Linked DNA regions of Caenorhabditis elegans. The protein of the gene in region 2 purifies or fractionates together with the protein of the main gene of each other region. This does not show direct contact. Each region holds a gene or a part of one and is shown on either strand. Other genes may lie near its edges.

Region 1 (7,303 bases), on a different chromosome or scaffold from region 2:
ATCAAGACATCCTGGCGGAATGCAACGTGGCAATTTTGCAACTCGACGAGCAGATTGCTTATTGTAGCAGTTCACTGGAAAATGTGAATGACTTGGATTTGGACTTGATCGCTGGAAGAGGCAGTGAGCATTTTATGTAAGTTTATCTTAATATCCTAGCTCAGTTGATGTAGAAAAAGTATACGTAAATAACATTTAAGACGAATCTGATTCTAGTTTTCTGAAGAATTTTTTTTTCTAAAATCATGAAAATACGAACATTTTCCACAAAATTGAAACATTTTATTTCTGGAAAAAACCGAAATATTGAAAGATCTAATTTTTGAGTTTCTAGAAAATTTATAATTTCCGGAAACGGGAATAGATGAATTTAAAGCATTACTTAATATATTTTCAGAACTCGTCTTGGGATCGGCGCTCCAGAAGTGACCCGTCGTTTGTATATTGGATGTAAATGTATATCTCGTATTTCACCATCGAAAAGATCTGTAAAATTAGTAAAACTAATCAAACTTGCCATCGAATCAAGCATTATTAGCCATGGAACACATCATTCAATCACTAATTATTTGAGAAATCTTTGATAATGTTCTTGTAAAATCACATTTATTTTTAATCCTCTGATAAATAGTTTAATTTAATTAACATAAGCATACAATATATATATCACAATTCAAATAGTTCCATAAGAAATCAGCTGACTAGAATCAAAGAAAATGGCTCGAACGGGCGGCACGATTTGTGCGTTCCGCTGTTGATCGGTTCCTTCGACAAACAATTGTGATCCTTTGATGAGCCCGTTGTTCGCTGTGTCAATTAACTCGTTTATCATTCCAACCACTTGTTTGTTCGAGTTTTGGATGTTCGAGCGGCTGGAAATAAAACTAATTTACGAAAAAAATTAGGGCACGCACATTTTATTTTAAGTTCTCTAAAATATCTTGCCACGTGGACGGCTATAAAAAGTTTTGCACATGAACTTCCAGGTTCTTTAAGTGGTTTTTTGTATTACGAATATCGTATATTCTTTATCAGTGCTGCATACAGTGGAATTTATTGGATGCAGATGCCGCACTAATAGAAAATATACGGTAAATTCCCAATGCTCTGGTAAAACAAGTCCGTTTTGTTGCCGGAGAAAGTGTCACGTAATCGAAAATAGTTATTTTGTTGTTGAATATAGTGTATTAGTGACACTTGAACTATTTATTCAATTTATACCAGATTTCGTGGATAAATTTTTTTTTCGTAATCTGCTGCGCTTCTTAGTTTTTTTGCGAATAAAGTGAATAAATAGTTCAAGTAATCACTAATTTTTAAAAAAGTGTTGCTAATCTGACAAAAAGTGTTGGTAAATTGGCAAAAGTTTTGGTAAATTGGAAAAAGTTTTGGTAAATTGGAAAAAGTTTTGGTGAATATACAAAAAATTTTGGTAACCTGCCAAAGTGTTGGTAACCTGCCAGAAAGTGTTGGTAAATTGCCAAAAAGTTTTTATACTTACTTACTTAATTGGTTTTTACATGAACAATTTTCTTTTTCTTTTTTCTTGTGAAACACAATTTTTTACGCAATTAATTTGCCACGTTAAACTTTCGAAACTTCTAAAAAATTATTTTTGATATTTTAAGATTATGAAAAGTATTCTTGGCAAAGATAATACTCTTTTCAAAATTCAAAATAATTTTTTCGAATAATTTTTTGTTTTCGTACATTTTCATAGAGGCTGTTGAAAAAAACGAACTTCTGTTGTTCCAAAATGCCGCGCCCCAAAATCCTTTTGCAAATCGTCTCGTTAAGCACCGAATTGAACAACGGTACTCCAAAAACACAATCCAATAGTAGAAAATCGTCGAAAGAAGTGCCTGGCAGCAGTTTTTTGAGTAAACCACCATCTTTTGGTAATGAGACATCCTGCATAATATTGCTCTCCGCTTTTGTTCTTCCACTGATGTCTGAGCCTGATGTCGTGATAGATTTTCCAGATTTTTTAAGTAAAATTACATATCCTGCTGTAAAATCTAGTGATAGCTGCTCTCGGAGCTTTCTGATCGCTGGATGATTGCAGAATGCAGTTTCACACTCCAAATCTTCGAATGGAAATGGTACATGGATCATTTTATCACAATCTTCACTGTCAAGAGGTACTGATTGAACAAAAATCGATGAATAAACCAACATATCATTCAATGCAAAAAGTGCATTTTGAGCTGTCATAATATGTGGTTCATGCTTGGTACTTGATACGAGGAACCGATGATGTTGGAAGCTTTGTAGTACACGTGGAAGAGTTGTTAGACGAGTTCCGTGTGGAAGAAATACACTTGGAGGGCCACTAGAACACGCCGAATAGATTGAGAGACGGAACCACGGGGAGCAGGTTTCAGCGTTTGGTGGACCGATTAGAGGAACCGATTGAACGGGAATTGCACACGCTTCGATTGAAAGTGGAGCCATTGCAACTAGGATTCTGGAAAAGAAAACAATTTCGACGTTTTTTTATGTCGGGGGATTTTTGATCACGATTGATTTTATCAAAATTGGCAAAAAAAACGGAAAATCTGCAACTTTTTATTTGTTCATAAAAGACATTGTTTCTGAACTGTTCATTATAGAATGAAGAAAATGCAAGAGGGTATCTTGCATTTTCATCTAACCGTTTAATGAAAATAATTCGAATTTTAAATAATATAACGTTTTTTTAACCGTCAGCTTCTTTTTTCGGTTCGAGGATTTTGATTTATTTATTTATTTTCATCAATCTCTTAAATTTAAAGACAAAAAGTTTTGGCAACCTGCCAAAAAGTTTTGGAAAATTGCCATAAAATTTTGGATAATTGCCGAAAAGTTTTGAAAAATTGCCAAAAAGTTTTGGAAAATTGCCAAAAAGTTTGAAAATCTACCAAAACGTTTTGGAAAATTGCCAAAAAGTTCTGGAAAATTGCCGAAAAGTTTCGGAAAATAGCCAAAAAGTTTTGAAAATCTGCCAAAAAGGTTTGGAAAATTGCAGAAAAATTTTTGAAAATTTCCGAAAAGTTTTGAAACTCTGCCAACAAAATTTGGAAACCTGCCAAAAAGTTTTTGTAAAATGCAAATTGAACTTTAAAAAAATTAAAAGCGTATGACGAATTTTGAAATTAAATACAGATAATTGCGAATTAGATTTTTTTTTGAAATTGTAATTACCAATGGTTTTTAAGAAAACTCAATTTCACCCAAGAATCGAGGGCTGAGGTTGTGTGTGAAATTTTTCGGTTACACTTTTTTCTCTCTATAATAACTCACCCATAACTTTTCTGCAAAACCCTCTGTCTGCTTTTTTCATCAAGTGTATACAAACTTTCTCCTCTAATCAGATCAGCTTCACGTTCTTGTCTTAAACTCTTCAATGAATCCAGTAGAGCAGTTGCATGCATTGAGTATCGCTGTGCATCTCCTTCCGCAAACTGATTTACAGACTCTAGTTGCTCCAAAAATTCCTTCATTTGCTCGTCAGCAAGTTTTCCCACTTCGAAAAGTGCTACTGCATGGCCTTTCAGCGAAGCCGACAGATTTCCCATCATCAGAAATGCGGTAAGTGTTGAATCGAAGATGAATGCAGCTCTATTAACAGTTCCAGAAGATCCAGATAGGTCGGAAGCCGTTTGGGATGTTGAAAGGGATTGGAATGACTGAAAATCAAAGTTTCAGATTAATACTTTTCTACAGAAATGGTTAGATTTTGAGATTTTCTCATTGTATTAACCGGTCTATTACTAACTTCCACAGAATTATTTAATGAAGGATTTGGCGAAGAAGCTCGAAGAGCTGAATCCTCCGATACCGGCGACAACGCGTCGTCTGTCTCATCGTCATCGCCACGTAGCAGTGTTTTAGTCAACTCGTTGAGCTCGTCCGATGTGCTAGTGATCAAACTTCTGTAACTTAGGATTTAAGAATTTTTCAAACATTTCTCCCACTCACGACATAGGAGAAATCGGTGACATTGGTGTAGTTACAGTGGAATTTGACGTCCAGGAGGTGTGGATTGTCAGGTTCTCTCCGCCGGTAACACGTTTTCTGGCGAATCCTAGCCTGCAGAACACGGAAATCGCGTTTTTAACGAGCTGAAGATCGATGTGTAGGATTTGCGACATCTAAAATGTGGAAAACTTTGTGTTTAATATGAGAAAATTAGTCTATTAAACCTCCAAAACAGTTGTTTGATCGTCAATTGCTACGAAAATTTTATAGAGGAGAGTCTCGAAATAGTCTCCTAGCACCCGATTCATCACAAATCCATCTAGAGGTGCCACATAGATATAATCGTTATCGTAAACAGGAACATCGAAATATATCAGTCCTCGATCATACAATGACGTCACAACAGAATATTTTAGAAGCCCCGCCGGAATTGCCACGTTGGTGTCGAGGAGGCGATCTATCACTTGTTTCTCTTCTTCTAAATAATTTAAATTTTGTTTTAAAAAGATTTACTAAAACAAATCGCACCATTCAGTGTTTTCACGTCACTTTCTAGAATCGAACCGACATTCGTTCTCCACCACGACTCGACAATCATCTTTGTTGGTTTTTGTGGCAAAAGCTCCCTCGCCGACTTGCTACGACGTAGAAATTTCCGATTTGAACGAGTTTGGTTCATTAGCTCAATGTATTGATTTCTTCCTATCCCAAGTAATCGCACTGCGTCGGCGGCTGTGAAGTTTGGAAGAGAATCGTACGACTTTTCGGTGTTTAGCATCTCCTGAAAATTAAATCCTGCTGAAAAATCAACTATTTTTCAGACATACGGTAAGAATATTCGCATAATAACTGAATGGGGAGAGCCGCATCTCGGTGACGGTGATGTCTGATAAGTGATAAGGGTACAGCATCAAGTGTGACTCGGAAAATCGTAGAAGCTGCTCATAGTACGCTTCCTCGCTCTTTTTCATGTGCCGTACTGCAATGAAATGTTCGAAATCAAGATTCAAAGTTGAAAAACTTACTCAAATTCCCCTTATATCGAAGCTGATTTTGAATCGAGTACTCCAAAACTCTCTTTTCGTATTCTTTCGACGAATTTCCCAGTATAACCTTGATATCTGGAGATAGATTCGCCCAGGGAATATTATCGCGAATACAGTCGTCGATTTCCATGCCTCTTCAGAGATTTCGAGTGGAAAATATTTTAAAATTCTACTGAATTTGAGCAAAAAAGATATGCGTGGCGGAGCTCTGCAGATCTGCAAATAAGGTAATGTGTGCAAACACCGTGACGACACATTGCGTACGCGGTGAAAATTTGTTTTTTGGTTCCAAATAAAATAATTTGAATTTAATGTTTTTCAAAGTTTTCGTTATTGCGATTTATAGAAAAATACCATTTGCAGGTAATTATGTCCTCAAGCGATGCATTTTGGAGAATGTTCGCAAACAAAAACAAAGGAAAATCGAATACCCGATCGGCATTTCAAGTTGTGAAAGAGGAGCAGCCGTCCACATCAACAGAACCCGATGATAAAAAGCCGTTACACCATGAAATTGCCGGGGAGATGATTAAAAATCCGGCAAAAGGAAAACGAAAGCGGGTTCAGATCAAAAACGACGAGTATGAGCAGCTCATGATGCTCGGTGTACCGGTACGCGTGCCACGTGGATTGAGCCTCTACTCGACTCAAAAACTAATGATCGTGAGAATTCTGACGGCGCTGAAAAATAGTCAAAATGTGCTTGGCGAGTCGCCGACGGGAAGTGGCAAAACTATGGCTCTGCTGGCATCTACGTGTGCATGGCTCAAGCAGTATATCGATGAGAAGCGAGAATCAAAGGAAAAATGTGAAATCCATGGATTTTCAGGAAAAACACAGGTGGTGTTCACTAACGATATTGGAATACCGCTAGAATCTAAAGTATATGAAGAGCCACCGGAAGAAGAGGAATTCATTGAGCCTGTGCCAGTGAAAAACGATAAACTTTGTAGGATTTTATTTTCAGTGGAGTTTATCATAAATGTTTTTATTTAGTCGAGGCACAATGGGAGCACGATTTCACGCCTCATACACCAGGAGAAACACCGCCCGTCACATTGAAAGAAGAGCTGGAGCCGGTAAAAAAACCGGAGCCCGTTGAGACGAAATGCACGTGTCTTCCGTAAGATTTGATATATATATATATATAATTTGCTTTTTTGCAAAAAATAGCGAAAAAAAAAAATAAATAGATCTTCCAATACAGATACAGCTTCCAAAATATTTGGTTCGTTGCGAGACCAGGAAACATAACAAACAATATTCTGTAATTCTAATTTTTCAGTCGCGTCCGAATCTACTACGGCACCCGAACCCACAAGCAAATTGCTCAAGTCGTTAAAGAGTTCTCCCGTCTTCCATACGCAAAAATTCTGAAGTAAATTCAAATTTCCTAGTGTAAATCTTCTCATTTTGTATTCAGACACACAATTCTCGCAAGCAGAGAACAATCTTGCATCAATCCGGCCGCTCGTAAACACGCAGACATCTCACAATACTGTAAAGAAGTGAACAGTGCACATTCGGTATGAATTCGATTTTTTTTTAATTATTAAAACAAAAAAATTTCAGATTGGTTGTTCATTCAAAAGTGCTATGAAACCACGATTTGAGAAAGCTTTACCGTTAAGGGATCATTTAGAGCGAAATGTTCGTTTTTTTTTCATTTATTAAAAAAACTGAATTTGGAAACTAAAGATTACATCAAAAATTTTATTCTAAATTTTAAAAAAAACCTAACCATATTGAAAATTATAAAAGTAGCTTCAGGAAACGGGCAATATCAATTTTTGCAGGGAACAGTGGTATTCGATATGGAAAAAATTGTCGAAACGTTGGCCATATCATATCCTCAGCTGTGTCCCTACTTCAGCACAAACCGAATTCTCACCCAAGACGCTGACATCATTTTCTGTCCATTTTCGTATCTGGTGGACCCATTGATTCGAAATTCGTCAGATGTTCAGATAAGAAACTCGATTGTCATTTTGGATGAAGCTCATAACATCGAAGACACGTGCAGAGAAGCGGCAAGCTTCTCGTTCACCGAGAAAGAGCTCGATGATTCGATATTGTCGCTGAGAATTAAAAGTTTGTGAGATTTAACTGGAAAAAAAGAGAATGTAACATAATAGCTATAATGAATTAACAAATTTTGTCTCGTCGGAGTTTCTTCGATAGTTTAGAATTTTGAGTGAAACATACAAAAAAACAAACTAAACTGCCGAAATGTGAGGAAATTTTCCTAAAATTCAAATTACAGGAAAAGCAGTTGACACGGAATTGGATAAAACCGG
Region 2 (5,734 bases):
TGAAAGTTTTGAAATGGTAACAATTATAAAAATGTCTCATTGTGAAAACCGAGCTTCATTGCTCACTTAAAATTACAGGTGGGTGCTTTGTGGTTTAACTGAAGAATGCATGAATCCTCCTGGAGCTCGACAAGAGTGCGTGTTTGGACCAGACGCTGATAAAGACTATGCTGAATGCTTCAGGTCAGTATGGATTTTTTGAACATCTTTCAAATACTCCAACAGACAATGTTCAGATATGACCAATCAATATTGAATCTTCTTCTGCTTAACGATTTTCAGACAACTGAACATTTCTTTTCGCAAAATTTGAAAAATTCTTCCATTCGATTACACTAGAAACGTTATCATTGATTGTTTTTGAATAACATGTTTGATATACTATAAAGATTAATAACATTATTTAATTAAATTAATAATGTTTTCAAAAGACGGTTTGGTGCCAAGTCCAGCCTCAAATCTCAAACTGTCCATAAAACTTGTTTCATACTTTCTGAAAAGAAATAGTAAAAAATTTGTTGCGTTTTACAGATTTTTTTTAAATTCTTAATATTGATATTTATTCATCAGGCAAAAAATTATAAAGATATTACATTTATAACATTATACATATGTCACATAAAATAAAGTGTTCAATAAATAAGTGAAACAAGAAAAACCCAGTAAGAGTTGTTCTCGAATGAATTGGTATTTTATCACAGAATTCGTCCCAGTAAAACTGCTCCATAGTGTATCATACAATTTTCGTTAATCAAGCTATATTCGTGACAAGTTGAGCAAAACGGGTTTGATTCAGTATTGAATATTCGAAATCCGTACCTGTAATTAGTGGTTTAAAAATCTGAAGTTAAAGTGAAGATATTAATAATATAGAGTCGAACTGATCAGTTCAACTTTTTAAGTCAAATTTTTCTGTAAATAATTTTAAGAAATTTATATACAGGGTGCGGCACAATTATGGTAACACGACCTGTTGTTAGAAATTCTTGTATATCTCGAATATCGTTTGTTCAAAAAATATTTGGGTAGTTTTTCTGAACACTAAAGTTGTTTCTCTATTTTATAAACTAAAATGAATGTCAATATACTGAATCATGAAGTTCTGGCAGGCCTTCAAACAACTGAATCAACTTTATCAAAACATCATTTTGGCGCCTCACACTTTTTGAGTTTCATTTGAATATACCGGCGTTCTTTAAGTATGTTGATCGCTAAAATTGTATTTTTCTAAAAGATTGAACATTTCTCTATCATTATTAACAACGCAAAAATGCATGTCCCATTGCGGATCAAACCGATCACAAAATCGCATTTTTGACAACCAACTTTATTCCTCTGACTTTACGAGCTTTATCACTAGGTATCCTACACCTATTTTAATTTTTTGGGAAAATTTATATTTGTCAGCAATTTCAAGCTTCGGTGGTTTCAAAAACTATACTTTACAGTTACAGTCACACCAAATATTTATGAAACAGCCAAATTAATGTTTTCTCGCCACTACTTGCGCACCAACGTCGGCCGTCTTCCCAGATTCGGGGAGGTCTGTGAAAGCGCAGAGAAAAATACATTTAAAGTTTAAACTGTTATCGTATTCAAAGATATCTGAAAATGCAAATTATCAAGGTAGACGTGTCTACCATTTTTATCGCGACCGTTACGCTTCTGGTTTTGTGTTACCATAACTGTAGTCCAAAGAAAACATCGAGAAAAATCAAACCTTGCCATGATCTGAAGCATATCCAAGTGTTTCAGGGGTGTGCCATGAACCTCTATGAAGATCTTTGAAAAAAAACTTATTGGTTATTAATACATAGTCTACTAAAGTAAATTTGTTACCTGGCACACAAAAAAATCTTTAATTAGTGGTTCCAAACCCGTAAGCTCGCCTTCTTCGATATCAATTTTTAGGAGTTCCACTTCATGCTTTCCTGCCTTTTCAAGCATATACGGAATTGTTAGCTCATCTGGAATCTTTCCAGTAAACAATTTCCCGTTTATTTTCCGATATGATTCTTGAGTTTGTTGGTTTTGAGGGTCCTGAAAAAATTTGGTGATAATGTAAAATTGGTGAGACAAAAATGTGTCCCTTTTATTAGAATTCAAAAAGTTCCAAAACTTTTAAATTTTGAAAATAATTTTTGATTTTTCAACAACTTCAGGACGTCGTAACTTAGCTCAACCGTCTCCGAAAATGTCCAATTTTTTGAGGGCTGTCATGTTTTGGGTTGAACTTCGCGTAAATATCGCGTAAATAATTGATGAAATACTGGAAAAGTATATATTTTTCCTTGTTCAAACAGTACCCAGTGCAGTTTTCTACAAAACATAGGTCACTTTTCAAAGTTCTTGGATATTCGAAATTTAGTCTTGCCGCTTCTAATAGTCTTGCAGTCTCTATTAGCATGCAAGACAGGGGTGTGCGGCAAATCTCAAAATTTGTCGAGCTCGGCAAATCCTGGCAAATCTAGTTTTCCAATATTTTCCGAGCACGGCAATTTCGGCAAATTTGCCGAGCTCGACAATTTTGGTAAATGGAGCACCAAAACTACTGAATTCTTAACACTCATCTGGTTTCTGAATAAGTTCCGTGTAGTGTCTGTTTAAACATCAAAATAATTTATTTCTTACTAAATGATTGGCGAAAAAATCAACAGTTTTGGGCAAAATTATACTGTCAAATTTTTGACGTGTGCGGCAAATTTCGAAATTTGCCGAGTTCGGCAAACAGCAAATTCGGCAAATTTGCCGCACACCACTGATGCAAGACTAATAGAGGAAATACAGTAAATCTGATATATTCAAAAAACATCATTTAGTGAACCGTTAGCATCTTAATATTACCTTGTCGGCTCCCAGTATCAAACAACGGCCATCAGTGACATTCTGAATATGCAGGTCAAAATTTATTTGATTTTTCAGACCAAGTGACACAATTCTGAAAGTACAAGTTTGAATGAAATCCACGAAGTAACTTACGTGCAATTCTTCTTGCCAGCCTTTTTGGGGTTGCAAACGTATTTTCCTCCATCTTTAAATCCTCCAATTTTTTCCTTCGTCAGGCACAGTGCCTCTATTTTTACTTTTTCGTAGAATTCCCCATTATCATTATTTTTTGAAGCTTTGTACAGTTCTCTTCTGTACTGTCCTTCGTCTCTTCGGTACTTGAAACGGAGTTCGTGGATTGCGTTGGCATTATAAATATTGAAAACTTCAGCCCCGCATTCATTTTGACCTGAAAGCAAACTGACTTGCAAAACCCTAAGTTTCTAAAAAATATTTCTTGAACTTTTTCGAAACATTTTCAAGACTTATCAACAAAAAAGAATTCCGCATTTTGGTGTTTTTTTTTTTGAAATGAAACTCACTATTCTTGGCAATTATGAAAAATGTGACAACGTTCAGGGAAAGTAAGATGAAAAGGAATTTTACGACCAGAAACTGGTGGATGTTGCAAGGCTCTGGGCTGCCCATCTGGACAATTCGATATTTTCTTAAATTAATCTCCGAGCGTTCAAAAAAGAATTAAATTACTGTTTGAAATAATGTCAGAGTCATACGACTTTTGGCAAAACCGTGCAAATTTTCTATAAGAGACATTTTTGTTGGACTCATCAAATTGACAGAAGAGTACATGTTTTAACGAAGTGCTTATAAATGAATTTCTTTGTGAATGTCCCCGCCCATGTTTTTTGTCATATCGGTAAACTTTTTTTTAGTAAACTTGACCTATTTCAATATACCTAAAATAAAATATTACTATTAATTGGATGTGTTCAAGATTTAAATGTCAGATAACTGAATATTTTCCAAGGTCAAAACTGAAGGATACGCTTGTTTCTCGTGATCGCTTGTTGATCGCACGCTTGTTTCTTGTGAAAAAATTAAATTAATGTTTGAAATAATGTCAGAGTCATACGGCTTCTGGCAAAACCGTGCAAATTTTCTATATAGAGACATTTTTGTTGGACTCATCAAATTGAGAGAAGAGTACATGAGATTTTATAGATCTTTTTTTTTCGCAAGATACAAGAAACAAGAAATCTTGCATAAAATATTGCAAGAAAAAGCACAAGAAATGTAAGAACATTCAAGAAATTTCAATAAATGGCAAGCCGTTTAATTTTTATCAAATGTTGTGATATAGTTTAAAGTAGGCGAGTAGACAATTCATTAAACCTACTAATCCACTCCTGGAACAAAATATCAAGAGAAGTGCAAGAAATATTTTAAATCTTCAGGTTTTTTCGACAAAAATTAGTAAAGTGTATGGAATTTTATAAAAATATGGAAATTTTGTATTGGATTTTGGACAAATAATGTTTAGGCAGCTGAAAAATGTTTATTATTGTTAAAAGATTGGACATGAAAAACTGATAAATCTTAAATATTTTGAAATTGCAATATTTTCATAATTTTCGATGAAATTTTGTTCCAGGAGTGGATTAGTAGGTTTAATGAATTGTCTACTCGCCTACTTTAAACTATATCACAACATTTGATAAAAATTAAACGGCTTGCCATTTATTGAAATTTCTTGAATGTTCTTACATTTCTTGTGCTTTTTCTTGCAATATTTTATGCAATACTAATAGGGAGTGCAAGGCTATTAGGGAGTGCAATACTAATTTTCTGAACATTTTTTCTGACTTTGAGCTTACTGGGTTTTTTCGAAAAAAGCTCGAATCTTATGTGAAAATTTAGAAAATTTGATTTTAGTTGTAGCATATAAGTTCAAAAACTTCAATCTCGTAAAAATTTTGTGAAAAACTGTTGCAAAATAGGCAAAAAATGCTGTTGAAATCCTGAAATCAGCGATACGGGTTCGCAATAAAAAAAAGTAAGCGCAAGATTATTAGGGAGTGCAATACTAATTTTCAGAAGGTCTCCGAGGGGCAATACTAATAGGGAGGCCATATTAATAGAAGATATACGGTATTATCCATACTTCATTTGAAAAAAAGATAATTATTGTATTTCAAAACATAGTGTTACAGGTGGATCTTGTGCAGCTCAACCGAAAATTGCATGAATGCCTCCTAGAGCTCGACAAAAGTGCGATTTTGGACCAGATATAAAGAAAGATTATGCTGACTGCTTCAGGTAGTCGTTATTAAACAAATTTTTAAACTCAAACTAATAGTAATTTTTCCTATGCTCCCAATCAGATACGCTCAATCCGTATTAAATCTTCTTCCACTCAACGATTTTCAAACTGCTAAGCATTTTTTTTCTCTCAGAGTCTCTCAGAGTCAGGCAAATTCATCCACTGAAATTTGTCTTGGAATCTCAAGTATTGCAATCGATGCATAAAATGAATACAATAAAACAGTTTCTTTTAGCTGGTTAGCCAAATGGGATTTGGGCGCATCCTCTGGTAGATTAAGTTTGGATTTCATTAAAATCTCCAACTGCATAAAACTCATTAATTCAATATAAACTAAAATAAAATAAATAAATAAATTAATTTTTTTTGAACATTTATTATTTTGATCATCACGGGTTCGACTCTGCAGCAATGATGGAAAATACTCAAAAAGTTAACAATTATTGGAAATCTGGCAATTTTGCAAAATAATTTGAAACGGGGCTAGTTTATACAATTTTATCAAAATCTTAAAAATTAACGTATTTTTTCTTTAAATTGATTCTTGTACATGAAGTTTAAAAAATCATTTCAGTTAAAATTAAACGATATCTTTTAAAAATAAAAACGTTTGTGAAGGTATGAAGA

The links.
Region 1: the proteins of R05A10.8 (region 2) and F33H2.2 fractionate together in Caenorhabditis elegans (co-fractionation; one large-scale study listed by BioGRID). This does not show direct contact.

The regions. Positions count from the first base shown.
Region 1 is NC_003279.8:15,021,053-15,028,355, reverse strand, and holds F33H2.2 (Protein FAM91A1), read right to left. Parts: upstream 5,189-7,303; 5' UTR 5,137-5,188; coding exon 4,986-5,136; intron 4,940-4,985; coding exon 4,788-4,939; intron 4,742-4,787; coding exon 4,489-4,741; intron 4,439-4,488; coding exon 4,185-4,438; intron 4,134-4,184; coding exon 3,961-4,133; intron 3,915-3,960; coding exon 3,758-3,914; intron 3,669-3,757; coding exon 3,283-3,668; intron 2,468-3,282; coding exon 1,742-2,467; intron 873-1,741; coding exon 674-872; 3' UTR 595-673; downstream 1-594. Other genes in the region: set-10 (MYND-type domain-containing protein), read left to right, coding at 1-136, 398-584; dog-1 (Helicase ATP-binding domain-containing protein), read left to right, coding at 5,376-5,955, 6,003-6,129, 6,292-6,384, 6,430-6,532, 6,579-6,656, 6,803-7,097, 7,270-7,303.
Region 2 is NC_003282.8:14,154,575-14,160,308, forward strand, and holds R05A10.8 (Methyltransferase FkbM domain-containing protein), read right to left. Parts: upstream 3,613-5,734; 5' UTR 3,475-3,612; coding exon 3,369-3,474; intron 3,236-3,368; coding exon 2,980-3,235; intron 2,939-2,979; coding exon 2,845-2,938; intron 2,234-2,844; exon of another isoform or gene 2,212-2,233; intron 2,041-2,211; coding exon 1,840-2,040; intron 1,783-1,839; coding exon 1,721-1,782; intron 820-1,720; coding exon 696-819; 3' UTR 552-695; downstream 1-551.